4 linked regions of the Canis lupus familiaris genome follow. The protein of the gene in region 3 binds, or shares a complex with, the protein of the main gene of each other region. Links are inferred from orthologs where the notes say so. Each region holds a gene or a part of one and is shown on either strand. Other genes may lie near its edges.

Region 1 (6,398 bases), on a different chromosome or scaffold from region 3:
CTCTCTCTCTCTCTCTCTCTCTGTGATGAATAAATAAAATCTTCAAAAAGAGAGAGAAAGAAAGAAAAAAAGAAAATGGAGTCAATCATTGTGCCTCTCATTTCTGAGTATTTATGTGTGTGTGTGTGTGTGTGTGTGTATACACACACACACACACACACATACATACAGGTACCTTGGTCATTGCTACATTATGTATATTCATGCCTCTAGTTACTCCCTGCTGATAACGAATGTAAATAGTCTTAAACATGAAATCTGAAAGGCAAAATCTCACTGGTATTGGAGGTATTTTTTCCCGGGCATTGTTGCATCTACTCAAAGTAGCCAGGCGGATACGGTCAGTCTTCAGGTCTACCCAGATGTGATAGAAACAGTCACTAGAGGACCTCTCTGCTTCTCTTATCTCTAATAGGGGTGTCATTCCCTTAGGAGCTGCTCAGAGCTTGGACACACACACCTCAGGCTACCTAATACTACTTACTAGAACTTCTTATTTAGGAAACTGATTTGTAGAAGGAAGTTTCTCAGCATTCTGAACAGTTACATATGTCCATGTCCCAACTGAACATACTAGGAAGTGCTTTGCTCTGTCTCAGTCCCTGTGGACTTAGAATTCCACATTTGTTTTCCTTACATTTTGAGGGGAGGAGATACTTGAACTTGCATAGTGTTTAAAAACATTTCTAGAGACATACAGACTGGTGATGACTCTGTGCATGAGAGACCACATTGCTCACTAGTCTTTGCATGTGTTCATCTTACAAATAGTATCCAGTATTACAAATTATTCAGATGATTAACTTATTTTCATTTATTTATTTTAAAATTTTAATTATATTTTTATTTTTATAATTCATTTTTGTAGACAGCTGATTTTACTTCTAGAATTATATAGTCCCAGAGATGTTTATGACTATTTACGTCCCATTGCTCTGAATCTATGTGCAGATAAAGTTTCTTCTGTTCGTTGGATTTCCTACAAGTTGGTATGTGTTACAATTTTTTCAATTTTAGAACAGCACACTGTTTAATAAGATCCTGGAACAGAAAGTCTTCCTCATGTCTCTGCGCTCCCCCTCCTAGGTTAGTGAGATGGTGAAGAAGCTGCACATGGCAACGCCCCCCACGTTTGGAGTTGACCTCATCAATGAGCTCGTAGAAAACTTTGGTAGATGTCCCAAGTGGTCTGGCCGGCAAGCCTTTGTTTTTGTCTGCCAGGTAAGTGAAGACTTATGCGTGCGTGACACATTTTTCTATCTAAAACTATGTTTCTTCTTTCACTGTGCTTCCCAACACTCTCTTTCTGATCCTTAAGGAACACTTTTGCCATCTGGCTCTCCAGGGGATCACCTGTTCCCCAGTTGGTGTCTGCCTGGCTCATCCCACAGCCATCCACTAGGGGGCGCTCGGGGTCCATGGCATAGCCTGTGGCGTGTGTGTGTGTGTGTGTGTGTGTGTGTGTGTGTGTGTGTGTGTGTAAATGAGCATGACTGCACACTCCGGGACTCAGGAGAGCCATTAAAAACCTATTTGTCTGTGAGGACTTAAAATTATGTCCTCTTAGTTTGGGGTTCCCAAGCGCGTGGAATGATAGTTTAAAAAGAAGTAGCTGAAATCTGTAGTGCTTGGGCTGTTAACAAAAGAGAATGTTAGCCAGTATTCCAGGGTTTGGCGATTACCTTGGCAGATTAAAGGAACTGTTTGTCCTCCTAGACTGTCATCGAGGACGATTGCCTTCCCATGGACCAGTTCGCTCTGCATCTGATGCCGCATCTGCTAACCTTGGCAAATGATCGGGTTCCGAACGTTCGAGTGCTGCTTGCAAAGACGTTAAGACAAACTCTCCTGGAGAAAGGTGGGTAGGTGACTGTTAGGAAAACCGTGTGCTGCGGGGAGGAGGTACACGGACTGCACGGATGGAGACGTAGCTGAGCGGAAGCACTATATGTTCCTACGTGTTATCTGATGGGAGAAGACTTGAGTTGTCAAGTGGGGGCTCCCCCTGAGAGAGGGCACAGATTAGATGACAGGGACTTGTTCGCCTTCCTGCTCCAGGGGCATTTCTTCTATAATCAAGACAGTCATCATGAAGACTGCTAACTCTGGGAAACGAACTAAGGGTGGTAGAAGGGGAGGAGGGCGGGGGGTGGGAGTGAATGGGTGACGGGCACTGGGTGTTATTCTGTATGTTAGTAAATTGAACACCAATAAAAAATAAATAAATAAATAAATAAATAAAAAAAATCAAGACAGTCATTTGAAAGATTAGGTATTCTCTTAAGACAGGATGAGAAACTGCCGTCAGTCTGTCCCACGTGACCTGTGTTACTGTTGCTCAGGGCCAGGAGGCATGTTTGTGTTTCCTCCTCTTCACTCCTTAGGCAGAAGACAGATGCTTCCTGGTATTTGCTTTGCTGCCACATACTAATAAGCTGCTCAAGATTCAGCTGTGTTTTATTTATTGTCGGCGCCCCCCCCCCATATCTAACAAATAGCATTTAAATGCATGAACTCGTGAATGAAGCATAGAAACGTTTGTTAATAGGCTTCTAAGAATATGGGTAAATGAATACTGCTTTTCCCTCCTTTAGAATTCATTTAAATTGTTTTAATAGCAGTAAGGAAATAGCTAAAGAAAACTGGTTCTCAACCTGTGTGATTGGTACTTGGGGTGTTTGTACTGAATTAATACCTATCACAAGTATAAGTGTTAATATATTTATTAGCTTTGCTGCCATTTAGTCTGTTCTAAAAACAAGATAAATCATACAATTCTCTTAGGCTTGGGGATATTTTTCATATCACACCAATCAACTTGGATTACTATTTGTAATTCGACATAGCTTGTGTTTATACTTGGAGAAATTATGTTTATGACTAAGAACTTAGTATACTCATACTTGATAAAACTGAAATGTTAAACTCATTTTATTTGTAATCTGCATTTTGCATCTCCAGAATATTTCCTAACCTCTGCCAGCTGTCATCAGGAAGCCGTAGAACAGACCATCATGGCTCTTCAGATGGATCGTGACAGTGACGTCAAGTATTTTGCAAGCATCCACCCTGCCAGTACCAAAATCTCTGATGATGCCATGAGCACAGCTTCCTCAACCTACTAGAAGGCCGGAACCTCATCCTTCCGCTTCATAGGGAGCCAAGGGCTGACAAGTGCTCCACACATGCGATCTGGGCCAGCCTTGGGGAGGAGGAGAGACCTTCCTCGCTTGCAGATTAATTGCAGGTGCAAGTTGCCTACATTGATACCAGGGATTTTAAGAGTCAAGAGAAAGTACAGTAAACACTATTATCTTATCTTGACTTTAAGGGAAAATAATTTCTCAGAGGATTATAATTGTCACCGAAGCCTTAAATCCTTCCGTCTTCCTGACTGAATGAAACTTGAATTGGCAGAGCATTTTCCGTATGGAAGGGAGGAGATTCCCAGAGACCTGCATTGCTTTCTCCTGGTTTTATTTAATGCCAGATAGATGGAGTGGCAGCCAGAAGGTGGCTGCGAGCCAGGATGTGACCGAGACCTTCAGTATTAGCCCGCACTGTCCCCACGCAGGCAAGGACCTGTTGGTTCCGTGGCCAGCCGCCCAGCCCGGCCCTAAGTGTGAATAGTTGCCGACGTGTGTAAATGCGAAAGGAGATTGGGGGGTGGGTTTCTCCTAAGGGCTTGATGCTAACACTAAAGTAGAATCTGATTTTAACTCTTAAATGCAGCATATTGCTGTGCACATTTACAGAATGTTGGCTGAGTATCTATGTCCCGATTTTCTTCATGCTGGTCATGACCCGAAGGAGTGGATTGGCGCGTGCTGTATGTCAGGTGTTTTTAACTTGATCATGATCGGCTCTGAGGTGCAGCTTTACTTCCCACGTGTACATACCTGTGACCACTCTTGGGAGTGCTGCAGTCTAATCATGCTGTCTAAACTTGTGGCACAAGTTCTCTTGTCCGAATAAAATTTATTAATAAGATTATATAGAGAGATATATACACTTCTGATTGTTTTCTAGATGTCTGCAAATAAATGCAATTTGTGACCTGTATTAATGATTTAGTATGAAGTGGGAAAACTAGATTAAAATATTTGTCTTTTACCTAGTTTAGTAATTTGTTTGCCATCTGCATGTGCCACTTGGGGCCAGGTTCTGTTCCCAGCAGACAGTGGGGTGTCCGGAGTTCAGCCCAAGGCCCCGGACACATAGTCCTGCAGCTCTGAGTCCCCACGGCCTCTGCACAGTGGGAACGGGAAGCCATGCCCCATCTGTGGCCGAGCGGCCTTGCACAAGCTGGGACTGGGACGCTGCAGACTGCTGCATGGAGGTGGCGGTCGCTCTTCTGAGCCCAGCTTGAAGGACCCTTGGCCTGAGTCCCTGGGGTGCACCTGTGAGCTTTGCTTTCCATGACTCAGCCGGCAGGGTCCCCTCGAGCCTCGGGGTGCGGATTGGGGAACACGTAGGCCGTGTTGTGTACAGACTATCGCGACTATCGCAGGTGAGACCTGTGTCTCTGCCTCTTGCATTACAACCCTGCGAGCGGAAGTGTGAGCCAGTTGCCCTGGGATGGAGGAAGCGGGGGTGCACGGCGGTCTATGGAGGGGGTCGGGGGGGTTGGTGGGGCCTGGCCCAGAAGGGGGGCACAGATGGGAGGAGGGCGCAGCCCCAGAATTTCAGTTGTGTAAATGACGTGACCGTCCCACACGAAGCTGCGTTTTTTTTTTTTTTTTAAGGTTTTATTTGTTTATTCATGAGAGAGAGACAGAGAGAGGCAGAGACACAGGCAGAGGGAGAAGCAGGCTCCATGCAGGGAGCCTGATGTGGGACCTGATCCCGGAACCCTGGGATCAGGCCCTGGGCCGAAGGCGGTGCTCCACCCGAGCCCCCCTGGGCGTCCCGGTGCTGCGTGTTCTCGTAAGCGACAGCAGTAATAGTATATTCGGGATAAAGGACTTGAATTTAGGGCAAGCGTACAAAGGCAGCACAGGCCCCTTCCCCGCTGGCCCGGCCTCTCCGCGACCTCGCTGCTGCTCGGCGCTGCCCTTGGAGCCCTCCCGCGTGGTCGCGTCTGAAGAACCGCGGGCCGGGCCGCAGGAGGTGGGGGCTCCGCTCCACACTCAGCGCCATGTGGGCCGAGCCGGGCTGCTCCTGCCTCGGGGCGGGAGCGCCAGGGCTTCTAAGGGAGAGAAGTGGGCTTCCGGAGGCAGCACAGGACCCAGCAAAGGAGGAAAACTGACCGTCCCAGCAGATCTTTGAAACCCTCCAGGAGGTAGAAACTGCAAACCAGCTCAAACTAATTTCATAATCAGAAGAGGAATCAGGTGGTGAGTATGTCCTCATAGGGTTAATGCGGGGCGGCTAATCTTAGGAGATATTCTCTTCCAATCCATGAGCATGGAATATTTTTCCATCTCTTTGTGTCTTCCTCAAGTTCTTTCAAGAGTGTTCTGTAGTTTTTAGGGTATAGATCCTTTGCCTCTTTGGTTAGGTTTATTCCTAGGTATCTTATGCTTTTGGGTGCAATTGTAAATGGGATTGACTCCTTAATTTCTCTTTCTTCAGTCTCATTGTTAGTGTATAGAAATGCCACTGACTTCTGGGCATTGATTTTGTATCCTGCCACGCTACCAAATTGCTGTATGAGTTCTAGCAATCTTGGGGTGGAGGCTTTTGGGTTTTCTATGTAGAGTATCATGTCATCTGCAAAGAGGGAGAGTTTGACTTCTTCTTTGCCAATTCGAATGCCTTTAATGTCTTCTTGTTGTCTGATTGCTGAGGCTAGGACTTCCAGTACTATGTTGAATAGCAGTGGTGAGAGTGGACATCCCTGTCTTGTTCCTGATCTTAGGGGAAAGGCTCCCAGTGCTTCCCCATTGAGAATGATATTTGCTGTGGGCTTTTCGTAGATGGCTTTTAAGATGTTGAGGAATGTTCCCTCTATCCCTACACTCTGAAGAGTTTTGATCAGGAATGGATGCTGTATTTTGTCAAATGCTTTCTCTGCATCTATTGAGAGGATCATATGGTTCTTGTTTTTCCTCTTGCTGATATGATGAATCACATTGATTGTTTTACGAGTGTTGAACCAGCCTTGTGTCCCGGGGATAAATCGCACTTGGTCGTGGTGAATAATCCTCTTAATGTACTGTTGGATCCTATTGGCTAGTATCTTGTTGAGAATTGTTGCATCCATGTTCATCAGGGATATTGGTCTATAATTCTTCTTTTTGGTGGGGTGTTTGGTTTTGGAATTAAGGTGATGCTGGCTTCATAGAACGAGTTTGGAAGTACTCCATCTCTTTCTATCTTTCTGATCGTGAGTCTTAAGTGATGTCAACAAAGGTGAGGAGGAAAACGGTATTTTTCAAAAGCTGGAGCTTAGTCCC
Region 2 (7,815 bases), on a different chromosome or scaffold from region 3:
AGAGGCCACTTACCCTGTCTTACGTTGTTGCAACCCCCCCACAGGTGGACAAAGGTGTGGTACCCCTGGCAGGAACAAATGGCGAGACTACCACTCAAGGTGAGAACTGTTCTCCTTGCTCTCCAGACCAACCCCTTCCACGCTGCTATCCCTCTGGTGAGTGCACCTCTTCTGCCATGCTCTGACTCCTCTCTTCCCCCTCCAGGGCTGGATGGGCTGTCTGAGCGCTGTGCCCAGTACAAGAAGGATGGGGCTGACTTTGCCAAGTGGCGCTGTGTGCTGAAAATTGGGGAACACACTCCCTCAGCCCTTGCGATCATGGAAAATGCCAACGTTCTGGCCCGTTATGCCAGCATCTGCCAGCAGGTGGGCCTGCAGGTCCCCCAACAGGCCACCTTCCACCTCATTTGTTTCTAGTGTCAGCTAGCCTGCCACCCATCTGTCAGTATACATACCACCCCCCTCCCTGAGGCAACTGTTCTGGATCCTCACCAAGCATCGGGCCTGGACCCGTGAAGGACCCTGGAGGGCTCTGTGAGCAGAGGGGCAGAATAGGGATTGTGTGGGTGGCTCAGAGGAGATGCCTGTAGGAGTACAGTCCACTGATGGCTGTGAAGCCGGAGTCTCTGTCATGGAGATCAGATCTTGGCTGATGGCTGTGGGGACCTAGAGGTTAGGAGGCCTCATGGCTACTCTGTCCCTCACCCCCACAGAATGGCATCGTGCCCATTGTGGAGCCTGAGATCCTCCCCGATGGGGACCATGACTTGAAGCGCTGTCAGTATGTAACTGAGAAGGTAAGTTGCCTGCCTGGCTGGGCAGTGTGGGGGCTAGGCAGCTGGGCCAACGCCTTTTGGGCTGACTCCTGCCCCCGCCCCCCAACTCCATCCCAATCCACTTTGACCCTGCTCTGCTCTAGGTGCTGGCTGCTGTCTACAAGGCTCTGAGTGACCACCACATCTACCTGGAAGGCACTTTGCTGAAGCCCAATATGGTAACCCCAGGCCATGCCTGCACCCATAAATATTCTCATGAGGAGATTGCCATGGCAACTGTCACAGCACTGCGCCGCACAGTACCCCCCGCTGTTACTGGTGAGACTCCACATCCTCATCTTGATCCCTGGAGGGTAGATGAACTGTAACCACAGCCCTTATGCTCATTTGGTCAGATTTCCAGGTCAGCTTCTAGAGGCTTCTGCTAATCCCCAGGTCTTTGATGATAACCACTTACCCTACTTTATTCTTTGTTCTACAGGGATCACCTTCCTATCAGGCGGCCAGAGTGAGGAGGAGGCATCCATCAACCTCAATGCCATCAACAAGTGCCCCCTGCTGAAGCCATGGGCCCTGACCTTCTCCTATGGCCGAGCCCTACAGGCTTCTGCCCTGAAGGCCTGGGGTGGAAAGAAGGAGAACCTGAAGGCTGCCCAGGAAGAGTATATCAAGCGAGCCCTGGTAAGGATGGGACCGGAAGTGGGCCGGGTGCCGGGGTGGATGGAATTCTGATGAGACCTCACTCTGGCTCCTCTCCCCTCTTAGGCCAACAGCCTCGCCTGTCAAGGAAAGTACACCCCAAGTGGTCAGGCCGGGGCTGCAGCCAGCGAGTCCCTCTTCATCTCTAACCACGCCTACTAAGCGGAGGTGTTCTAAGGCTGCCCCCTCAACACTCCAGCCCCCACCCTCTCCCACTCACTCTTGAAGAGAGGGCCTCACCTGGGGCTCCAGGCTGCTCTTTCCCATCACTTTGGCCTCCCATGTGACATTGGTGTGTGGTGTTGTCTGTATATGCTAACTCCGTTGCTCTTTCCAGCCCACTGCCAATAAACAACTATTTAAGGGGGAGTCTGCTGTCTGTGTCTGGTGTTCAGGTTAGGGGAGGGCCCAGGGAGGTGACAGAGCATAGAAGAGCCCTTGTTTTCTGTTTTTCCTTGCGAGGCAGGAAAAAATTGAACAGGTTGAGAGAGAACCTTCCTGTTTTATGCCGAGGGCTTCAAGAAGAGATCTTGTGACATTTTCTTCCAACCATCAAGGGCTTTGCCCCCTTCTACCAGCAGTACCCAATAAGGCTCATAGTTGGGGACTACATGTGTAACTGTTAGGCTCAGCCTCACTTTGATTTTTTTATTTTTAAAAGATTTTATTCGTCAGAGATCCACAGAGAGAGGCAGAGACAGGCAAAAGGAGAAGCAGGCTCCCTGCTGGGAGCCTGATGTAGGACTCGATCCCAGGACCCTGGGATCATGCCCTGAGCCAAAGGGAGATGCCCAACCACTGAGCCATCTAGGTGCTCCCACTCAGCCTCCCTTATAGACTGAGAATTCAGGTGTAGGAGGCCCCTGGCACAAAAAGTCACTGACAAAAGCTAACATTTCCCGAGTGCTATGAGCCAGATGACACAATCTATATGAGCATGTGCTATTCCCAACTCCTGCTTAAGTGCCATACTGCTTGAGATAGCACTTTCTGGATGAAGACAAGATTATTAATGCACATGTCCTTAATCTACATGGTTGAGCTGTCTGTTTTCCCGACTTAACAGGAGATGGGATTATAACTGGCTTCTTAATCTTCTTTGGGCTGGGGAACCCCTTGACGAACATGGAATCCCTTTTTAACAGCCACCTCAACAACAGAACTGTGGCCCTCAGGTTCCAGGTTAAGCACTAAGTCAATGCAGCAGCGATATTCCATGAAGCCAGAAGGAAGGCCTTGCTCTTACCCCTCTGCCATGCCCTGAGCCCTTACCCAGTCACCCAGGCTAGGGCAAAGTAGTAGCTGCATCAGAGCTTCTGAGCTGTTGAAGATCCTAGTCATAACCAGGGACCTCATGACTCCTGCCATTTCCTGAATTTTTGATAAGGGGCCCTTTCCTGCCTGAGCTTCCCTCCAGAAAAAAAAAAAATCTTGACTTGTCATCTCTGGGCCTACTGTATCCCTATAGTGCTGTGCAGGGCCTTCTAGGAGTTTAAGGACTTGGTCCTTTCCTCCAGTTCACATTTGCATCTGTTGACTACATACAGAACCAAACCTACTCTTAGTGTTTCTCTCAACTTTGGCCTTACTTCTGTGCCTAACCTCACTGTGAAATAAAGTCTGAAGTAAAGCAAGTAAAAATGGAAGGTCAACAGAAGATAGCAAAAAGGACGCTTCAAAAGGGAGCAGCCCGTGCAAAGGCCCATACAGGGCAAAGTACGCTTACAGACCATTTCCTCAAATGACAGTTTGAGGGTTTCGGAGCTTTTCTAGTAACAGTGAATTCCAGAACCGAGTCTAAGCAATAGGTGGATGAGAAACAAGAACTGATTTTTTTTTTTTTTTTTTTTTAAAGAACTGATTCCGTACAAAAAGAAATACAACTGCAGACACTATAAAGCAACTGAGGGTTGTCAGGGGCCGTTCTGGAATCGGGAGGTCATGTTGCCTGAGGCATACGCCAAGTGTGAGCAAGGTGGCCTCGTTTCTGCCTCTAACTTCAGAGGTCCTCTGTGGCAGACATTTCTCCGGGCCGTGGAGAGGGATCTGGACGGGATTCCTCCAGCCTCTGAACACCCGCTGAGGCGCCTTCTGTGCCAGGCACGGGCTGAAAGCGTGACCCTCGGGGACTGTACTGGGGGAGGCCGACCCAAACAGGTATCTCGAGGCGCGGCTCAGCTTGCGTCTCACTGAGACGGCCACGCGGAGGGGACTGAGCTGTCCACCGGCACCGCGGTCACCGCGGCTGCCGAGCCGCCGACATCCGGTTCCTTCGCTCATTTCCATTCTTAGGCTCGAGAGGCGGAGCTAGGGGCGCGGCGCGGGAAGGGGAGGGTGTGTATGACGCCACATCCGGCGCGCGGCGGAACTGATCCTCCTTCGCTTCCGCGGCGGGGCCGGAAGTAGAAGCGGCGGTGGCGGCGGCCCAAAGCCGAGGGAAGGAGGAAGGCAGGGAGCCCGGGAGCGGGAGCCGGAGTCGCGGCGGCGGTAATAGTCTGAGACTCCTCTAGGCCACCGTCCCGAGCGCGGGACCACGGGGTTCGACGGGAGTTAGCTGGGAGCAGCCAGGGCCGTGGGACTTCGGGGGTCCAGGGGCTGAGGGGAGGGGAGGCGGGGGTGGGGGGGCCGGGCCCGCTCCAGGATCGAGTTGCCTCCCCACCTCCACCCCCGGCGCCCCCTACAAACAGTCTGATCCCCGGGCTCGCCCTCGCCTTTCTCAGGAGACCCCTGTGCGGTGCGGAGGGGGCGGCGGCCCCGGCTCTGACCCGCGCCGGGGGGTGGGCCATGGCGGAGATCAGCGACCTGGACCGGCAGATCGAGCAACTGCGGCGCTGCGAGCTCATCAAAGAGAGCGAAGTCAAGGCCCTGTGCGCTAAGGCCAGGTGAGCCGGGTGGCCCCGCTGACCCGGGGTTCCGGACTGGGGCAGACCCAGCCGAGAACTTGGGGCCTGGCTCATCCTGGAATCTTTCCCAGAGAGGAGCAGAATAGGGCCACTTCCCTCGAGGAGCAACCAGCCCGTTGGGAGAAGACAGACCTGGAGAAAGACACTTAAAGTATTAGGTGATGTGTTTTCAGTGGCGTCAGAGAATTATAAAAAGTCCTAAGGAGGCTCAAGGAGACAGTCCTACTTGTCGGGGGAACAGAGTTTCTGGGAGGAACCGAACTTTGGGGATAGGCCTTGAAAATTAAGATGATAAAAGGGAGCGTTGACAAAAACAGAAGTTCAAGGCAGTTCAAGGCTAAAGGCTCTATGGTTTGTAGACTTCTTATTAATCCCAAGAACAACCCCTAAAGGTGGGTGGTATTGTCCCCATTTTGCAGCCGAGGACTCTTCTATTCAGAGTCAGCCAGCAAGTAAGGGATGGAGTCCGAAGCCAGTGCTCCATATCCTGTCTCTTTTCAGGCCTTAACGCAAGATGGTGGAATTGGATCTCCTCATGTTCAGTGTGAAATAGTAGCAAATAAGTCAGAATGAAATTAAACCTGACATGAAGGGAGGCCTGTGGGAAGTAGGGTCATGTAGTGGTTAACAGCTCAGGCTTTGGAATGTGATGGTTCTGGGTGGGAATGTGAGCGTTGCCACTTACTGGCCCTGTTGGTGATCTTGAGGTCTCTGGCAGTTTCTTTATTTGTAAAGTGGGAATAATAGTATTTAAGAAGATGATGGTGAAGAGGCAGTAAGTTGGTGCCTCGGACTAGCTTAGCATAGTGCTGTGGTACAATGTAAGTGTTCAGCAGTCTTTAGGTGTTACGTTACTACCGTGTAGGAAGGGGGCATTGCCAGTAAGGACCGAAGTCACCAGGGAAGGCTTCTAGGAGAAGGTGGTCTTGGAAGATGAAAATAATTTGGGTAGCTAATGGAAGCAGAGCCAGGGACCAAGGATATTCCCAGGAGGATGAGAGCAGGAGTGGAAGCTCTGGGATGTATGGGCACCAGTGAGGAGACCACTTACCGGCCTCCCCTGAGGTACTGTTTGTGGCTTGTACCACGCTGGAGATTGTGGGGAAAGAGCCAGCACAATGACCCTACATTCCTTGAACAACAGGCGTTGTACTGGCAAGGAACTTCTCTCTTTTCCGTACAGGAGTCTTGTGAGATGGAAGCTGTTTGCTCCCTTTAACATGACTCCTTAGGGACCTAGTGACTTGACTGAGGTCACCCAGAAAGAAAGTAGCAGAGCTAGGTCCCGGCCTTGTGGCTCTAGGCCTCTTGCCTGGCTTTACCTCAGACAGACCCATAGTGGCCAGACTGGGCCTGTTTGGGAAACAGGCAAGGCCTCTTAAATGCTTGTCTGCGACTCTTTTGTGTTCTGGCAGTGAAAGAAAGTTTTCCTGACTGGACCAGCCCCAAGGTGTTTTTAGTCACCGCTGTTCCCTCAGTCTTGACAGCATTTTTAGGAACTTAAACCAACTGTTGCTTGGCACTGTTCTTTTTCCTGTAAGACTCATCTTGCCCAGAGGGCCTGAATTCATTTGGTGGTGATGATAGCTAGTGCTCGCATAGCATGGTGGGGTTTTCAGAATGACACACAGGTTATGTATCCAGTCTCACCTGCTCTTGGCAGCAGCCCTATAGAGCGGGCAGGTTGGAGAGAGTGTTTCACAGAAGAGGAAACTGAGCCTCAGAAGACATAATGCCTTGCCTGTAGCCCCATAGCTGGTAGGAAGAGAGGTTCACTTTGTTTGGATCCAGGTCTTTTACTATACTGCCTGTAAACTGATAGCCAACCAGTCAGCAAGGCAGTGGGGAGCTATAGAGGATTGAGGGGTCGGGGAGTCTTGCCCAGCTGAAACTGAGAAGAGCTTGGGAGGTACTGGGCTGAGACCTAAGTTGGCCAGTATTATCCAGGGTCTGTTCTGAAGGGAGAACAACTTGTGCACCTGGCCGTGGCCTCCTGGAGACCCACAAGGGGCCGAGGCCCAGGCCAGTAGCATCTTGGAACCTCAGCTTGCCCCCAGGGTACATAGATGTAAATTCTTGGAACTAGAGAGGCCTGAAGTATGTGAACCAAACTTGGTCGTCTTTGAAATACCAGTGTAGGGGTGCCTGGCCGACTCAGTCGGTAGAGCATGCAACTTCTGATCTCGGGGTTGTGAGTTTGAGCCCTACATCGGGTGTAGAAATTACTTTAAAAAATACTTACATAGGGGAAGCCCCAGTGGCGCAGCGGTTTAGCGCCACCTGCAGCCCAGGGCGTGATCCAGAAGACCCTGGATCGAGTCCCACGTCAGGCTCTCTGTATGATGCCTGCTTCTCCCTCTGCCTGTGTCTCTGCCTCTCTCTCTGTCTCTATGAATAAATAAATAAATAAAATCTTTAAAAAAATACATATATAATGTATATCACTATGGTAAAAGAGCAGAGGGTTTGAATTGGGTGGTCTTCATCGTGAATCCCAGCTTTGTCCCCTAAAAATGGTGTGACCCTGGTCAAGTCACTGTACCTCTCCAAGTCTTTGAAGTCATTATGGAGCTCAGATGAGATTCTACATATGTAGGGACAGGGACTGGCATTTGTTGTGGAAGTAAAGGTGGGTAAGTGTGAGCTCTGAGAGGGCGGGTGATGTGCTGTGAGTGACAGAGCTGGGGTCGGAGGCTGGTTCTCTTTCCCCCACCTCGCCGGGTCCTGCCCCTTTTTTCTCTGAGCTTCAGTTTCTGTGTCAGATGAGGATGAGAAGAACCCCCCTGAGTCATTTGAAAATGTCTTCACAAGCAGTTGATGTGGAAGGATGCTGGACCCATGATGTAGTCCAGCGGCGGGGAGGGCTTGGTGGCCAGTTGGCCTCCCAGACCCCTGCCGGGACGCCCTCCCATTCCCAGAAAGCCAAGCAACCACACTTCCCTCAAGCTGCTTTTGTCTGAGAGAGTGCCCTCAGGGACATAGGTAAAATCACGGGTTCTCTGAGCTCAGGGAGCTCCTAGTCTCCTAGGAGGAGGCTGGCGGAAAAAGGTAGGCAGGTGCCTGGGGCCCTCCAAAACCAGAGCAGCTTGATAAAAGTGCCAGATCCTGGAGCCAGGCTGCTTGGTTCAAGTCCCACCTGTAGGACTGTAGCCAGTTTATTCATCCGAACAGTGGGTGTCATCACGATGCCTGCTTTGGGGATGGTTCTTTGATTGTGTCGTCGATGCAGAGCTCTTACTGCAGTCCTGCGGCATATCAGCTAGAGTGGTCACTGCTGCTGTCATCAAGGTAGAAATCTGGAAGTGTGGCTCCTCTCCAGTTGACTGTAACTGACAAAGTGATTTTATGTCATGTGCTGGCAAGTAGTAGTAGACTCCACTGCAGGGAGAAATGAAAGAACAACGTTGTCACTCCCTTTAAGTAAGGAAAAACACAGC
Region 3 (7,707 bases):
GGACTTGACTCCCGCACCCGGGATCACACCCTGAGCCAAAGGCAGACAACACGCAACAGCTGAGCCACCCAGGCATCCTCTGGATCTTCTTTTTCAAGACAGAAGTGCAAAGGTGAGTGACAGGCCTTTTTCAAGGAACTGTGATATAGTTCATTCTAGATCTCTTTTTTCAAGTGTGTGGTTGTTCTTACCTGGGAAGTTGGCTTGGCTCTGAAGGAATCCACTCAAGGAGCACACTATACATCAGAGCAGCACCTGCCTCCTGAGTAGACACCAAGTTTCATAGTGCTCCACTCCCCAGGTCCCCTCCTACCAATACCTGCCATCACGGCAAGATCTGATTTTCACTGGTGGCCTCAGAAGGGAGAGTGGCTTTTTTTCTTTCAGTGGCTCAAGTTCTTTCTCTTACTTTGAGTAGGGAAAAAAAGCACCACCAGCTTTATAGAGAGTTTTAGAAGGGAGATAAGAGTGATAGGAGTGAGTCCAGTTGATTTTTTTTCCACAAATTATTTCATGTTTGGTTTGCGGTTCAAGTAAGTAGGAACAATAAATTTAATGATGTCTTACTGGATCAAAATTGGACAAAATTGCTGTCACCCCCTGATGCTTGACATTACTGTGTTTTATTTTTTAGACAACAGCTTTATTTTTTATAATTTTCCCCTTTTGTTGGCAAAAGAGGAAAGTCTCCGACTGTTCTTTGTAAGCACCTCTTTGTATTTGTCAGTGGGGGAGGACTGTCCCAACTTCTGATTTATCTACTTATTTTTATTTATTTTTAATTTTTTTTTAAAAGATCTTATTTATTTATTCATGAGAGACACACACAGAGAGAGAGAGAGAGGCAGAGACACAGGCAGAGGGGGAGAAGCAGGCTCCACGCAGGGAGCCCGACACGGGACTCCATCCTGGGTCTCCAAGATCAGGCCCTGGGCTGAAGGCGGCGCTAAACCGCTGAGCCACCCGGGCTGCCCCAACTTCTGATTTAAAACAGAAAAATCCCATATCCTGGGCAACCCGTTTCTCAGTACTGGTGTTGCTGTCAGGGCCTCTTCCTGATAGATGCATTTGCAGGTTTGATGGGAGATTCCTGGTGATGTCAAGCACCTGGACCTGCCATAATGGTGGCCACTAGACAGGGGCTTACTGAGCCCTTGAAATGGGGCTAGTGCGAATGAATAAGGAACTGAATTTTAAACTTTTACATTTTAAAAATGGATACTTTTGGAAGAAAATAACTTGAATATGCGAATATCCTTTTCCCACTGTAAGCTTAATACACTCTAAGCACAGATTAGGTTATTTGCAAAGGAGATTTAGCTTCCAAGGAGAAATTTACGCCGAGGGGGAAAAACACACATCGCATCTTGAACTCAGGTACGAAGAAAAAAAAAAAAAAAAAAAAGGAATGGAAAAAAATCATTGACGTCATACTGAGGATTAAAACTTTGAAGATACCGCATCCAATAAAATACATTATGAAGATACATTTCAGCGGCTTCTTTGTACTTTCTCGGAGAGCGGCTACTGTAAAATTCTGAATTACACGTGGCTCGTGTCACGTCTAGTGGACACAGGGAAAGCCCCCAAACGGCGGCTCTTGCTTGCACGAGGGTGAGAATCTGGGGGGGGGGGGGGGGTCCGATTCCTTTGTGAGGATCTTCAGGCCCTCACAGCCCCCGTTGAGAACTGCTCAGCGCGGCTGCACAGCATCGCACGGCGACCGGGCTTCGTGCGTCCCTCGGGTCTTGCTTTCCTTGCAACACGGAGGAGCGGGAGAGCGCGCGGGCGGTCGGCGGGCGCGGCGGGGCGGGTGTAGCCGCGCCCCCGGGCCTGCGGCCGTCCGTCCGTCCGTCCGTCCGCTCTGCAGACGCGCCCCACGGCGGCTCCCGGGCGGGCGGCCGCCCTCGCCGCGCAAACCTGGGGCCGTCCCCGGAAGCCTTTCCGTTTCTCCCCGAGGAAGGCGCCTGACATCGCCTGGGCTCCGGCGCCTCCCCGACGGTGCGCTCCCGGCGCGCGGCACAGGACGCCGGTGGAGGGGGAGGCGGGGGGGCCCGGCGCCCGCAGCCCGACAGGCCGAGGCCGCGGCGGCCCCCGCACCCCGAGACGCCGGGCGCGCCGAGGCCGGACGCGGGCTCCACGCCCCTTCCGAGTCCCCGAGCGGGGCTGATGACGAACACAGGGCGCGACGGCGCACACGCCGCCCCGCGCTCGCACGACAGTGCGTGCAGGGAGCGCGAGGGAGCCCCGGGCCGTCAGCGGCGCGACCAGCGTTCCGCCTCCTCCGCTCCCTGCGCTCCCGCCACCTCGGCAGCTCGGCGCCCGCCTCCCGCCTCCGTCCGAGGCCTCCGCCGCAGCGAGGCTCCCGGCCTCGCTCCTGTCTCTTTAAATGGTGGGGCCAACGGGCCGCCCCTGCAGCTGCTGCCTGGGTGGCCCCGCGCGCCGCTATTGAGGGGCGAACCAAGATGGCGGCGGCTTTGGCTCCGTGAGGAAGACGGAAGAGGCGGCGGCAGCGGCGAGGGGAAAGGGACTTCCAGGAGGCAGGAGCGCTCGCGCGCCGGGGGGGCTCTCGCAGGCTCCGGCGCAGCGGTAGCAGTTGCAGCAGGAGGAGGTGCCCCTCGGCTTGGGACGTTTGAAGCCGGGGAGCGGAGCGCGGAGCCGCTGGCGGCCGCGGCAGGGCCAGGTAGAAGGAAGGAAAACATGGCGGCGGCGGCCTGAGGAGGCGGCGGCGGCGCGGGAAGCGGCTTCGCGGAGATCATGGCGGAGGCGGCGGCGGGGCAGTGAGCGGCGCCCCGAGGTCCTACCGCATCGGCCCGGGAGGCTGCGAAGCGCTGCGCGCCCCTCTCGGGGCGGCCGGGCTCCCCGCGCGCGGACAATAGCGCCCAGAAGTGGGAGTCGGAGGCGAGGAGCACCGGGGCCCAGAGCTCGGGCCGGGGAGCGGGCCATGCGGGCGGCCCCGCGGCCCCGCGGCGGCCAGCGGCGGCAGTGAGCCCGGGAGCGCCCCGCCTGCAGGCGTCCTCCCGCCGGCGCCGGCCCCCGTTCCTGGGCGACTGCAGCGGGGCCTGTGCCCCGGCCCGCGGGCGGCACGATGACCGACACCCGGCGGCGGGTGAAGGTCTACACGCTCAACGAGGACCGGCAGTGGGACGACCGGGGCACCGGGCATGTGTCGTCCGGCTACGTGGAGCGGCTGAAGGGCATGTCCCTGCTTGTCAGGGCCGAGAGCGACGGTAAGCGAGGCCCCTGGCGGCGGGACCCTCGCCGGCGCCGGCGGCCCCGGGCCACATCGCTGGGTGTTGGGGGCCAGAGGCTTCCCTGCGAGGTCGGAGGGGGCGGCCGCCGCCCCGGGGGAGGGCGGACCGCCGGCGCCCGGGTCCTCCCGGAGCTCGCTGCAGCGCGAGCGCCACCGCCACCGCCACCGCCAGCGCTCGGAGGGTCTCGTTTTCTTCCCCGCGCCCGGTAGCGTTTGGGCGACGAGGGGAGCCCGGCTCGTTGGAGCGGAGCCCCCCGGGCGTGTGCCGAGGGCGGGGGCCTAGATCGGCGGCCTGGACGGTGCCGTTCTGTTGCACCAGAGTGACCTTGAGAAAGGCACTGATTAATCCGATCTTCTGCCTTAGTTCACTCATCTGTGAAGCAGGCGTGAAACTTTCTGGGAGCGAAGAAAGTTCTTAGGTGTCACTCTTTGGAGAACGTTGTGCTTGCTGTGCCGCCACCCCCCCCCCCTCCCCCCGCACTCCCCCCTTTAAACTATTTTTCTGCTACATCTCTTTGATCCTGTTGCAGCAGGTTGGCAACTCCGGTTCATGGATGGCAGAGAAATGCTTCTTTGCCTCGAGAAAGAAGATGGATTTGTGTTACCTGGTGTTGTCTTTTTTTTTTTTCCCCCCCAGTAATGCAGAATTCTGTGTATAGTTTGTGTAGGCGTCTTGCAAGGGTGGAACCATTTTATTCGCGGGTTTTTTTTTTTTTTTTTTTTTTTGGACCGCTTAAATGTGTGATCACAATTTGGTTCAGTTAACAGGTGGGGAGAAGTTGGCAGATAAGTTTGAAACCTTTGGTATCTGCCATAGTGCTTGTGGTTCCCATTATTTTGAAACGGCCCTCAAGTTTCAGAGACCTAGTTTGAAAATGAGTGTTGCACATTTTTCAAGGTTCAGTGTTTGCCGCCTCCCTCTGTGACGTATTTCGGAGTTTCGCTTAAAATGTCCACATCAGGTGAAAGTATTTCCAAATTGTTACTTTTGAAGTGGAAAACCTGTCTTGTTACATTAGTCTGTAATTTCACTTTAGGCGCTTCAGTTTATTAGGATTGTAGTTGTTCTGTATCTGAATTATTGCAGCGGGTCTCAAGGAATTTTAATTGGACTTTCAACCCAGAACTCTCCGTTCCATGAAAAACAAACAAGACTCACCCCTCTGTGATTAAAGACTCTAGGGACATTGATTTTCAATTTGAATTGAAAAATTGTACTTTAGAGCTATATTGCCCACAGGTTAACTTCATAAGGCTGCTGAAAATAACTTAGAAATTATTTCCTTTAGAGGCGTTTAAAGGATTTTGAATACCTTGAGTTTATTTTTCTGAGGCCTATTTATTTGCCTCTTAAAAATACAAGTTTGAATGTGTTAGTGTGCTTTTGTGTCTCTCACATAGTCACCAGTTACTCTCACATATCCTCTTTTCCTTTGCCTGTTTGGAAAACTTTTTACATAATGAGTTGAAAAGCGTGGGCTTTGTAGGTTCAGTTAACTTCCAGATGAAAGTGTGTGTAGATGTGAGACCAATTCTTTGAAATTTCCTAACTTCAAAGAACATGTATAACTGTCACATCACATATTTAATTGGACTCATTCTATGAATGGATCCTTTGTTTAAAAAGTATTTTTAAGCATTACGTTTCAATGTCATACTATCCTGGGGAATCCTTGTCCACCTACTTGTGTTGGGATCTGTTTTTTTTCCCCATTTTTATTGTTACCACTTTGGAAAATAGCCCCTAAACTCGTTTCCTCCCTTGGGAATTTTTGGGAACCTGCAATGAAACAGGTTGAATGGCAAAAACAAAAAGGCCGTAAGTTTTATCTATTTTATTTATTTTTATTTTATTTATTTTTTATTGATAGAGAAAGAAAGCTGAAATAAACGTAACTGATTTGTCCTTGTTAATTTAAGATGTAAGGAAAACTAAATCAAAGGAGTGGGCTTAGAAGATTGCAGCATACTTACGAAATATTGTCAGAAATAATCTCGTTTGATGATTAGTACTGTCTTCTGACAGGAAAACTCTAAATAGGAATAATAAAAATTTATCCAGTCCCTACTATGTGCCAGAGACTCTACTTGTTATCTGCTGGTATAGGTACTATTATTAGCCATATTTTGCAGATGGGGAAACTGAGGCTCAGACAGCCTTTGACTTGAGACTATTATTATCATTAACTGTTTATAGCGTAAACTCCCTTACTGCTGTCTACTTGTGTTTGCTACTTTATACTTAAAAGCTCAAAGTTTATTTCAAAGAACATGAAAAGAATTTTTAGCCTAAAGATATTTAAAACTATAGTTTATCTCCAAGCTACATGGGAGTTTTTGTACAGATTGCTAGTTTCGGTCATCCATTATTGTATGCTTTTCCCATTCTCCATTATGGGATAATTGAGAATTTTCTTTTTATTGTGGTGAGCAAAGTGGAAAGTATTTCTGATTTTCCATAAAATGAGTCATTTATCTTGTTAGAGGTGCTTATACACTAAACTGAAAATCAGGAAGGCAATTTCTGAATGGAAGTACTTGTGGCCTCCTTGTTAACAGGGCACAGCTTTCTGAGTAAGTATGCCTTTCCCTTCTGAACTGAATGATTTGGCAAATCTGTAGCCCACTTTACTCTGGAGGAGAGAGAGGTCCTGCCAAGCTACTGAGCCCGCTCTCTAGGTTTTATCCTTGTTCAGTAGGTTCCTACTGGCAAAGGGTATTGTGGGAACATAGCCTTTTCTCCAATGAAGATAGATTACCGCATTTCTAAGGTTTTTGTCATAGCCAGGTACCAACAAAGTTCCATCTAACAAACAAACAAAAAATTTACTTTTTTTCTTCTTTCAGTTAATGCTATACCTTTTAAGTTGCATTAAGGGTAATAATGTAATCCCTAACTTGCCCTCTCACTTTATATTTAAATCAGTCTACTGCATTATGGTTTTTACTATTTCCACCTTCTAATTTTAGAATTGATAAAGACTTTGGAATTTCTCCACACACTGAAGGATGTCTATTTAACATGAAAAATCATATCCATGCTCTTTATTCTGGATTACTTGCCAAGCATCAAGAATAGTGTTCTTGGGGATCCCTGGGTGGCGCAGCGGTTTGGCGCCTGCCTTTGGCCCAGGGCGCAATCCTGGAGACCCGGGATCGAATCCCACGTCGGGCTCCCGGTGCATGGAGCCTGTTTCTCTCTCTGCCTGTGTCTCTGCCTCTCTCTCTCTGTGTGTGACTATCATAAGTAAATAAAAAAAAAAAAAAAAAAAGAATAGTGTTCTTATATTTTGATTTTTACCTTAAGTTGAATAAAGTAATTTTTATATTTCAAAATAGTTTTATCTATTATCTGAGTTACCTTTTTCGGAGTTTAAAAGGTTAAATTTTCAGTGTCATTTGAGGCACGAAGAAAATGAGACACGGGGAAATGTTTTTGTTCAAGTTAGCACTAGTAGCTAATGGTAAAAACCAGAATCTTGTACCTCTCTGCCTGTTGTAGAACTTGGTTGTAAGTAGTGCCTCACCTCCACTATAATTAGAAAAGGAGGTCAGAACACTTAAGGTGGAAAGCCTTTTTTGTTTTGTTTGGGCTGTTGTGGTGAAAGAAATGAACAGAGATAAGTATCAGCAATTTTTTTTTCTCATAAATTAGTAAGCGTTGTAGAATATTGCATACAGTAAGCATTCCAGATTTAGCTACTGAGAAGAGCTCAGTGTCAGTACTGCAAGAAATCCTTCACTTTGAACAATTCATTTAAACTCTTTTTTTTTTCTTCTCATGTAGACCTATTTTGTAAAAAATTATTAGGCCTTACTAGGTAAGCAAACCCTGTTTGTCACTTTGTGTGTGGTAACTTCTCACAGTTTGAAGTCCATCAGCCACTCTGGGTATAGGTAGTAGGGCCAGAGTGTAGTAAAGGCCTGATGCAGGTATTGGACCTTTTAATATAAGGCTACCCTTTCCTCCTCCTCCACTCAACCTTCATTTGTTTTTATTTATTTTTTATTTTTTTTAAAGATTTTATTTATTCATGACAGACACACACACACACACACACACACACACAGGCAGAGAGGCAGAGGGAGAAAGCAGGCTCCGTGCAGGGAGCCCGAAATGGGACTCGATCCCGGGTTTCCAGAATCACACCCTAGGCCAAAGGCAGCGCTAAACCGCTGAGTCCCCCCGGCTGCCCCATTTCAGTTTTTAAATGCTGTATGTAATCTTGAGCCACAATCAGGAGAAAGGGACTGGGAACACACACTAGGTTTAAAGCCTACACTGGTGTCCTGTCCAGATGATATTTTGAACTTCCATTAATTTCATTTTTGATGATGTTTTCTTCCTACTAATGAAGCATAGTACCTAAGCTCCTGCCCTTAGTTTTGAGCATTGATACGGAGTATATGCCAGCAATGCTTTAGATGTTAAATTGCTTACTGTGGAGTGACAG
Region 4 (7,121 bases), about 930 kb from region 3:
CACACTTAAAAGGAGATACATGGTTATTATAGCATGTTTTCCATGATCAAAGAGGATACTTTATTCTGCTTCAATATTCTCTGGAGAAAAGAAAGATTTATATTTTCCATTCCATACTTAATGGCTAGAAGACTCATGCATTCATTCAGCAAAATTTATTGAGTGCTTACTATGTGCCAAGCACTATATCTAGGGTACCTAAAAGAGACAAAGGAAATATTATCCTGGAATCTGAAATTTCACTGGAGACAGACAGTAAGCCAACATATGTAGATAGTATGTCAGGGAAGAACAACAGTGAAGAACAGTAAAGCAGGGTAGAGAATGAGGAACGTGACAGTGGGTAGTAGGATGCTCTTGTGGAGAGAGAGTGGTCAGGAAGGAGTCCTCTCTGATCAAGTACACTTCATGCAGAGGTTTGAACCAAATAAAGGAGTTACCGTGTGGATGTCTGAAGGACAGGTGGCCTGGGCAAAGGGAATAGTGTGGTTGCGTGAGGAGCAAGGAAGCTGGTGTGGTGAGTGGCAGAGAGATGAGGCAGGGGGTGGTGGGGCCCGCAGCACAGTGCACTTTCAGGGCCTTGACATGGAATCAAGCTTGTATGCTCTGAAACATGGAAAATCTTTGGAAGGTTTTGAGTAATGATTTTTTTTCTACTTTTTCTACTTTTGTAAAGATACAGAAAGGCAGAGAAAATGATGAACCCCCATGTAGAACTCAGCTAGACTGAATAGTTATTAACATTTTGCCATATCCACTTTTTCTGTTTCATTGTGCTGAGGAATTTTAAATTCTAAGTATCATTATATTTTATCTCTGAACATTTCAGTGTTCGTCTCTAACAAAGGACATCCTCCTATATAATCACAATATAGCCATTGCATTTTACAAAGCAGACAATTATTCTTCAATGTTGTTTCATATCTCTGCAGTCCACATTGGCCCCCTAAGTATATTTTATAATTGTTTTATTCCATATAGGATCCAATGCATATCCATATAGGATCTACATTGCCTTTGGCTGTTACAACTCTTAATTGTCTTTTAATTCAGAACAGGCTCCCACTTCTCCCTTTTGCCACTTTTTCATGACATTGAATTGTGGAAGAGACTTTGTTGTCCTGTAGAATATTCTGTCAGAGTGCTGCTTCATGGTTCACCTATTCTCAATATTTCTTGTAAATGGGAAATTAGATCTAATAGAAAATTAACCTAAAGCTCACTGAATTTTAGGTTACACATTTTTGGTGAGAATACTTCTTGGACACCAATTTACATTTTATATTGCATCCTATCCAGACATGTGTTTCTCTGTCAGTGAGCTCAGAGTGTTTGTCCAGGTGGGGACAGCTTTATCAGTCTGGTGCAAAATTATGTTTTCTCTTGCAAGGTACACTGTACCCTGAAGCTGATGGTTGGAACACTCTGAACACCATTTTTCCATCAACCTTAACACTCATTAGGCAACCACTGGTGATCCTTCCTGAATCTGTTTTCATTAGAACTTGCAGGAGAGTGATTTTTAAAAATTCTATCACTTCTACATTTTTCATGACATTCTTCCATGAAGAGATATTCTTCTTTATCCATTTGGGTAATTTGATTACACTGAAATATATTTCCTCATGTAATCCTTAGTTTTTTCCTCCTGCTGTCAGTTTTTAGAGTTAGGAGCTGGTGCAGTAACCACTCCCAGTGGTGACAACTGAGTTTTGTTTTGGTTTTGTCTCCCTTTCAGGCTTATTCTCTAATATTAGATATTGTTTTAATCAAATGCAGTCATTGTTTGTGTACTCAGATTGTCACAATTTACTCAGGCAGGGCCTGACATGTTTTTGATACGATTACCTTCATCTTTGATTTCTGGCCCAAAAGATAGCTTATGTTATACTGTGAGGTAAAAAAAAAAAATTTTTTTCATGTGACTAGTATTGATGTGTTTGAAATTCTATTAGTATACACAAATTGAAGAAGAGAGTAACATGTTTTTATTCAGTTCATTTATCTAAAATTCATTTTTAAAATGCCAGTGATGCTTCTCTTTATGTACCTTTCTTAAATTTTCTGTTCTAATTCATAGGGAATACTCTCCTTTTACGTTTTTTTTTTTTTTTTTTTTTTTTTAAATTGAATAAGGAGGAACTTTATTTATATATTTGTGGCTCAAGGTGATCAGATGGTTTTTTTTTTTTTTTTTTATGATAGTCACACAGAGAGAAAGAGAGAGAGGCAGAGACACAGGCAGAGGGAGAAGCAGACTCCATGCACCGGGAGCCCGATGTGGGATTCGATCCCGGGTCTCCAGGATCACGCCCTGGACCAAAGGCAGGCGCCAAACCGCTGCGCCACCCAGGGATCCCTCCTTTTACGTTTAACACATCAAAAATACCACACAGAATAGTACTCTAGAGAAAAAGAGCTTGTATAAAACATGAGAGGAGGTAGTAGGCTACTCCCCGCAGTGTAGTAAGTTTTATTCTACTTGAATTTCAAGGATCCCCACTATAATACTCTGAATCTTTGAATATTAAATATGATGGTATTTATATGTAAGCCAAGGTGGTAAATACGAATTTTTTACTGGTTGAGAGATTTTTTTTCTAATATATAATTTGAACCCAGTAAAGATAGATAATTGAATTCATTTACAGTTGACAAATTCTGCCCAGTGATAAGATGGAAAGTCAGAAGACAAAGGATTATAGAACACTAGTCAGAGTCACTGACATGGTGTCCCTTGGATTCTAAATTTTATCTGTGATATAGGCCAGGGATCTCGATGAATGGTCGAAGAGGCAGAAGCAAGCGGAAGGATTGAAGGGTACACTTGATCATATGATTTCTAGATTTCAATTTAGAAGTGGCACATTTTTGGTGATTAGGTCTAAGGCAGGGCATGTTCTTGCAATATTTGTTGAATAAATGAATGACAAGGTCCAGGGAATGGCTAAGAGAATGGATGGCTGAGATGTTTTTGGGGAGAATGCCACTTAACGATGAAGTGGCAGAGAAAGGAGAGTCAACTAAAAATCAGATCTGGATGATTTGGAAATGACTGTGCCAAACTAAATTAACTTTGTAATGTGATGCATTAGTTGATCTGCCTGAGTGATATTCACACTGAATTAGGAAGACACTTCCTAGGTGATTTGAGAGGCAGACAAAATTGCTCTTACTTTTAGCCAAAACTGAAAATTGATCTGTGGAGCAAAACTATGCTATAAGATTAGTCTAATTGTCTTTCCTACCTGTTTCTTTAAGAATGTCTTACCTGTCCAAAAGGCAGCTTCACGAACTCTATGCATTTTTCTACGTTATAATCGTAAACAAGAACAGAGACATGAGGTCATTCAGAAGTTAATTGAACGTAAGTAATCATTGCCTTTTATTTGGAAAAGCAGAAAGTAAACTGGCCTTAGTTATCTTGGGCCGACATTATGTATCATTTTTCCGTGATGTTGATAAATATCTAGAGTGTGTATTTGAGTTTTGTAGGTTATTTATTTTTTTTTGCTTTAGAAATTTAAATGACAGGATCGGTCTGTGATTGAATGGGAGAAATATTTACTCTGGGCCTTCTTTAGTGAGTTTCTACACTTGAGAAATTAAAATAATGTATATATATATTTTTTTTAATTTATTTTTTATTGGTTTTCAATTTGCCAACAGATAGAATAACACCTAGTGCTCATCCCGTCAAGTGCCCCCCTCAGTGCCTGTCACCCAGTCACCCCCACCCCCCCGCCCTCCTCCCCTTCCACCACCCCTAGTTCATTTCCCAGAGGAGTCTCTCATGTTCTGTCTCCCTCCCTAATATTTCCCACTTGTTTTCTCTCCTTCCCCTTTATTCCCTTTCACTATTTTTTATATTCCCCAAATGAATGAGACCATATAATGTTTGTCCTTCTCCGATTGACTTATTTCACTCAGCATAATACCCTCCAGTTCCATCCATGTCGAAGCAAATGGTGGGTATTTGTCATTTCTAATGGCTGAGGAATATTCCATTGTATACATAGACCTCAACTTCTTTATCCATTCCTCTGTCGATGGACACCGAGGGTCCTTCCACAGTTTGGCTATTGTGGACATTGCTGCTATAAACATCGGGGTGCAGGTGTCCCGGTATTTCATTGCATCTGTATCTTTGGGGTAAATCCCTAGCAGTGCAATTGCTGGGTCGTAGGGCAGGTCTATTTTTAACTCTTTGAGGAACCTCCACACCGTTTCCCAGAGTGGCTGCACCAGTTCACATTCCCACCGACAGTGTAAGAGGGTTCCCTTTTCTCCGCATCCTCTCCAACATTTGTGGTCTCCTGCCTTGTTAATTTTCCCCATTCTCACTGGTGTGAGGTGGTATCTCATTGTGGTTTTGATTTGTATTTGTCACATATAATTTCATGCAGGAAAGATTAAACTTATCTTTTTTGTTGTTGTTTCTAGAACTGGGCCAAGGAAAAAGTTATTGGAATAGACTTCGATTTTTGGATACCTGTGAATTTATTATAGAGATCTTTTCCAAATCATTTTTCTGTAAATATTTCTTTCTACCTGCTATTGAACTGACACATGATCCGGTGGCAAATGTAAGGTATGCTACTAATCCAAAGAAATACTTGAAAATATTGTACATTTAACTTTATCTACTATAATTCATCTTCTGATCTACTATAATGTACTTACACTTTGAAATTCCTGGTAGTCTTAATTCATGAGCCTCAATAGGACTTGGAGGCATAATCTTTTTAAACAGTGCCTCATGTCTTTGATTTATTGGGTTAAGAGAGTAGTAGTCAAAGCCAGACTGGCAGGCTTCTCCTGCCACTTGGATAAATACATAACATTGGTGTCAGGAGAAGGTTGAGTAGATAGATATTCTTAATTTATGGATTTTCTGAGACTAAAGAAAATAACTTAAAGTTGGCTTGGCCAAGTTCTGTCCATTTTTAGAGGCAATCAGGATTGGATTTTGTTTCGTATTTTTAGTGTAAGAAAATACAGAAAATGCTACTGCATTGGCTTCAGTATTTTTACATCTATGTTGTTAATATTTTGCAAATTGAAGTTGTGACTCTAGAAAATCAGCTCCCGGTGTGATGAATTATCATTTATCAAGCAATTGACAAAGATTATTTGAAAGGAAATGAAATCATCTCTACTCTGGTCAATATGACTAAATGCATAGCATTGACCCTAAGAGATAGCAACCTGACAATTCAAAAACCAAATGAAGATTAATTGAACATTGCTCCATAAATATTGGTTATTTTTGGAGGGTAAGAGATCATTGCATAGCAATTTGTCTTGGTTTCAGTTTTCTTCTTTTTTTTTTTTTAAGATTTTATTTATTCATGAGAGACACAGAGAGAGAGGCAGAGACACAGGCAGAGGGAGAAGCAGGCTCCCCTCGGGAAGCCTAATGTGGGACTCAATCCTAGGACTCTGGGATCACGACCTGAGCCAAAGGCAGACACTCAACCTTTGAGCCACCCAAGTTTCAGTCTTCTACCTGGGCAGCTGCCAGCCAAACAAATGGATTCAGCAACACAGTATGCTAATTGGCTTTTGGATACAAAGCATTTGCCCAACTCTGTAGAGATGTTATTTAGAATGAAAGCCATCACAGGCAAGAGTGGTGGGATCATGCACTTAGTAGGAGGGTTTCTGGAGCTATACCACCTGGCCTGATTTCCAGCTATATACTAGCTGTGGTCTTTGGGCAAGTTACATAATCTCTCCGTGCACTAATTTCCTTAATTACCCAATTCATAGGGTGTTCTGAGGAATAAATACCTGAGATAATGTATATAACAAAGTTAGCTTACCAGAAAGATGTGATATCTAATCTTAAAATCTTTATAATCTCACGGGTCCAGGAATCTCACAGAGATAACTCACCGCTGTGGCTTCTTCTTCTGTACCTTCTGTTGAATATATGTTTTCTAGACCTACTTTGAGTTATGAAGAATGAAGTATGCATAATAGTCTGTTGTTTCTGTTTTTCCTTAAGTGAATGTTTAAAATTTGAATTCATTGATTATAGACAATATGAAGCCTGGAAAGACCATTGGTATTCCAAAGGAACCTTCCCCTTTGCCAGAAATGCAAAAAATTCTCTTTGGGGCAACTCGGGCCTCTTAATTTAAAGAAAGCATCACCAGGATCCGTGGTGAGCTCTGAGTGAGTTTAAGACCATTATTGCTATGAACAGAGCTGAAAATTCTGGAGGAAGAGCCTGTTTAGCCTTTTTGCTTGAATAAAAAGCCAATTTTTTTTTTTTTTTTTTTTTTTATATGAAGATTCCTCAACTGTGAGCTTAGCTGACAAAGTGTCCTGGAAACTCTGGGAGTGGAACTTGGTTGTCTCAAATTGGCATAAGGAGTAAAAAAAATAGTATTTGGAGAGCACTAAGATGAATGAATTGATACAGCAGCTAAAACATAGGCAACCACCTAGCATCCCTCTTTAAAGCCAGCCCTGGCAGAGTGGTAGGGTAGTAGCTTAGCAAAGCAGAGAATTTTTTTTGTACTGCTTCTTCCTAGGAAGCTTTCTGTACTTCCCTGGATTGCTTCTCTCCTCTTTGGCATTCTTCAGCCTGCGTGTTGCTTCCTTATCCATGTGGTATAGACTGGGATGGCACCTAGACTCTGTCCTTTTATCTTTTCTTGAACTGTACCTACAGCCTTGGTGATCTGTCCAGTCTCATGACTTGCATATCATCTGTGTGCTAAAGATTCCTGACTATATGGATATCCCTCCTGGACGGGAGCCACGTTGAGCTAGCTGCCCACCTAGCATTTCCATGGCATGTCCAACAGGTGCCTCAGACTCAGTCTGTCCCAAAGTAAATCCTCATCTCCTGCACCTGCACACACCCTTGCTCCTTCTGCAGTGTTCTCCCTCTGAGCAAATGACCATCGCACCTTAGCACCCACTCAGGTCAAAACCTTAACCTCTTTTCTGCCAACCCACTGCAGTCCCTCAGCACATCCTGCTGCTTGCAAAATATACTGAGTCCAACTGCTTCTCCCCACCTGACTGCTAGCACTGTAATTCAGGCGGCCACCATCTACTGCCTGAATTACTGCCAGAGCTTCCCTATCGTTTCCCTTCCATCCCCA

The links.
Region 1: PPP4R3A (region 3) and PPP4R1 share a complex: the UniProt entries of both Homo sapiens proteins name them as parts of the PP4 complex. The link is inferred for Canis lupus familiaris from reciprocal best matches to the Homo sapiens genes PPP4R3A and PPP4R1.
Region 2: PPP4R3A (region 3) and PPP4C share a complex: the UniProt entries of both Homo sapiens proteins name them as parts of the PP4 complex. The link is inferred for Canis lupus familiaris from reciprocal best matches to the Homo sapiens genes PPP4R3A and PPP4C.
Region 4: PPP4R3A (region 3) and PPP4R4 share a complex: the UniProt entries of both Homo sapiens proteins name them as parts of the PP4 complex. The link is inferred for Canis lupus familiaris from reciprocal best matches to the Homo sapiens genes PPP4R3A and PPP4R4.

What each region holds. Positions count from the first base shown.
Region 1 is NC_049228.1:75,606,452-75,612,849, reverse strand, and holds the end of PPP4R1 (serine/threonine-protein phosphatase 4 regulatory subunit 1), read left to right. Parts: intron 1-868; coding exon 869-989; intron 990-1,086; coding exon 1,087-1,221; intron 1,222-1,716; coding exon 1,717-1,858; intron 1,859-2,961; coding exon 2,962-3,125; 3' UTR 3,126-4,113; downstream 4,114-6,398. UniProt on the Homo sapiens protein: Regulatory subunit of serine/threonine-protein phosphatase 4. May play a role in regulation of cell division in renal glomeruli. The PPP4C-PPP4R1 PP4 complex may play a role in dephosphorylation and regulation of HDAC3.
Region 2 is NC_049227.1:18,247,125-18,254,939, forward strand, and holds the start of PPP4C (serine/threonine-protein phosphatase 4 catalytic subunit), read left to right. Parts: upstream 1-3,808; 5' UTR 3,809-3,962; intron 3,963-4,195; 5' UTR 4,196-4,259; coding exon 4,260-4,357; intron 4,358-4,449; exon of another isoform or gene 4,450-4,536; intron 4,537-7,815. Other genes in the region: ALDOA (fructose-bisphosphate aldolase A), read left to right, coding at 45-99, 206-366, 714-797, 920-1,094, 1,258-1,457, 1,542-1,637. UniProt on the Homo sapiens protein: Protein phosphatase that is involved in many processes such as microtubule organization at centrosomes, maturation of spliceosomal snRNPs, apoptosis, DNA repair, tumor necrosis factor (TNF)-alpha signaling, activation of c-Jun N-terminal kinase MAPK8, regulation of histone acetylation, DNA damage checkpoint signaling, NF-kappa-B activation and cell migration.
Region 3 is NC_049229.1:62,670,417-62,678,123, reverse strand, and holds the start of PPP4R3A (serine/threonine-protein phosphatase 4 regulatory subunit 3A), read left to right. Parts: upstream 1-3,014; 5' UTR 3,015-3,088; coding exon 3,089-3,230; intron 3,231-7,707. UniProt on the Homo sapiens protein: Regulatory subunit of serine/threonine-protein phosphatase 4. May regulate the activity of PPP4C at centrosomal microtubule organizing centers.
Region 4 is NC_049229.1:63,603,289-63,610,409, forward strand, and holds part of PPP4R4 (serine/threonine-protein phosphatase 4 regulatory subunit 4), read left to right. Parts: intron 1-3,261; coding exon 3,262-3,367; intron 3,368-4,443; coding exon 4,444-4,591; intron 4,592-7,121. UniProt on the Homo sapiens protein: Putative regulatory subunit of serine/threonine-protein phosphatase 4.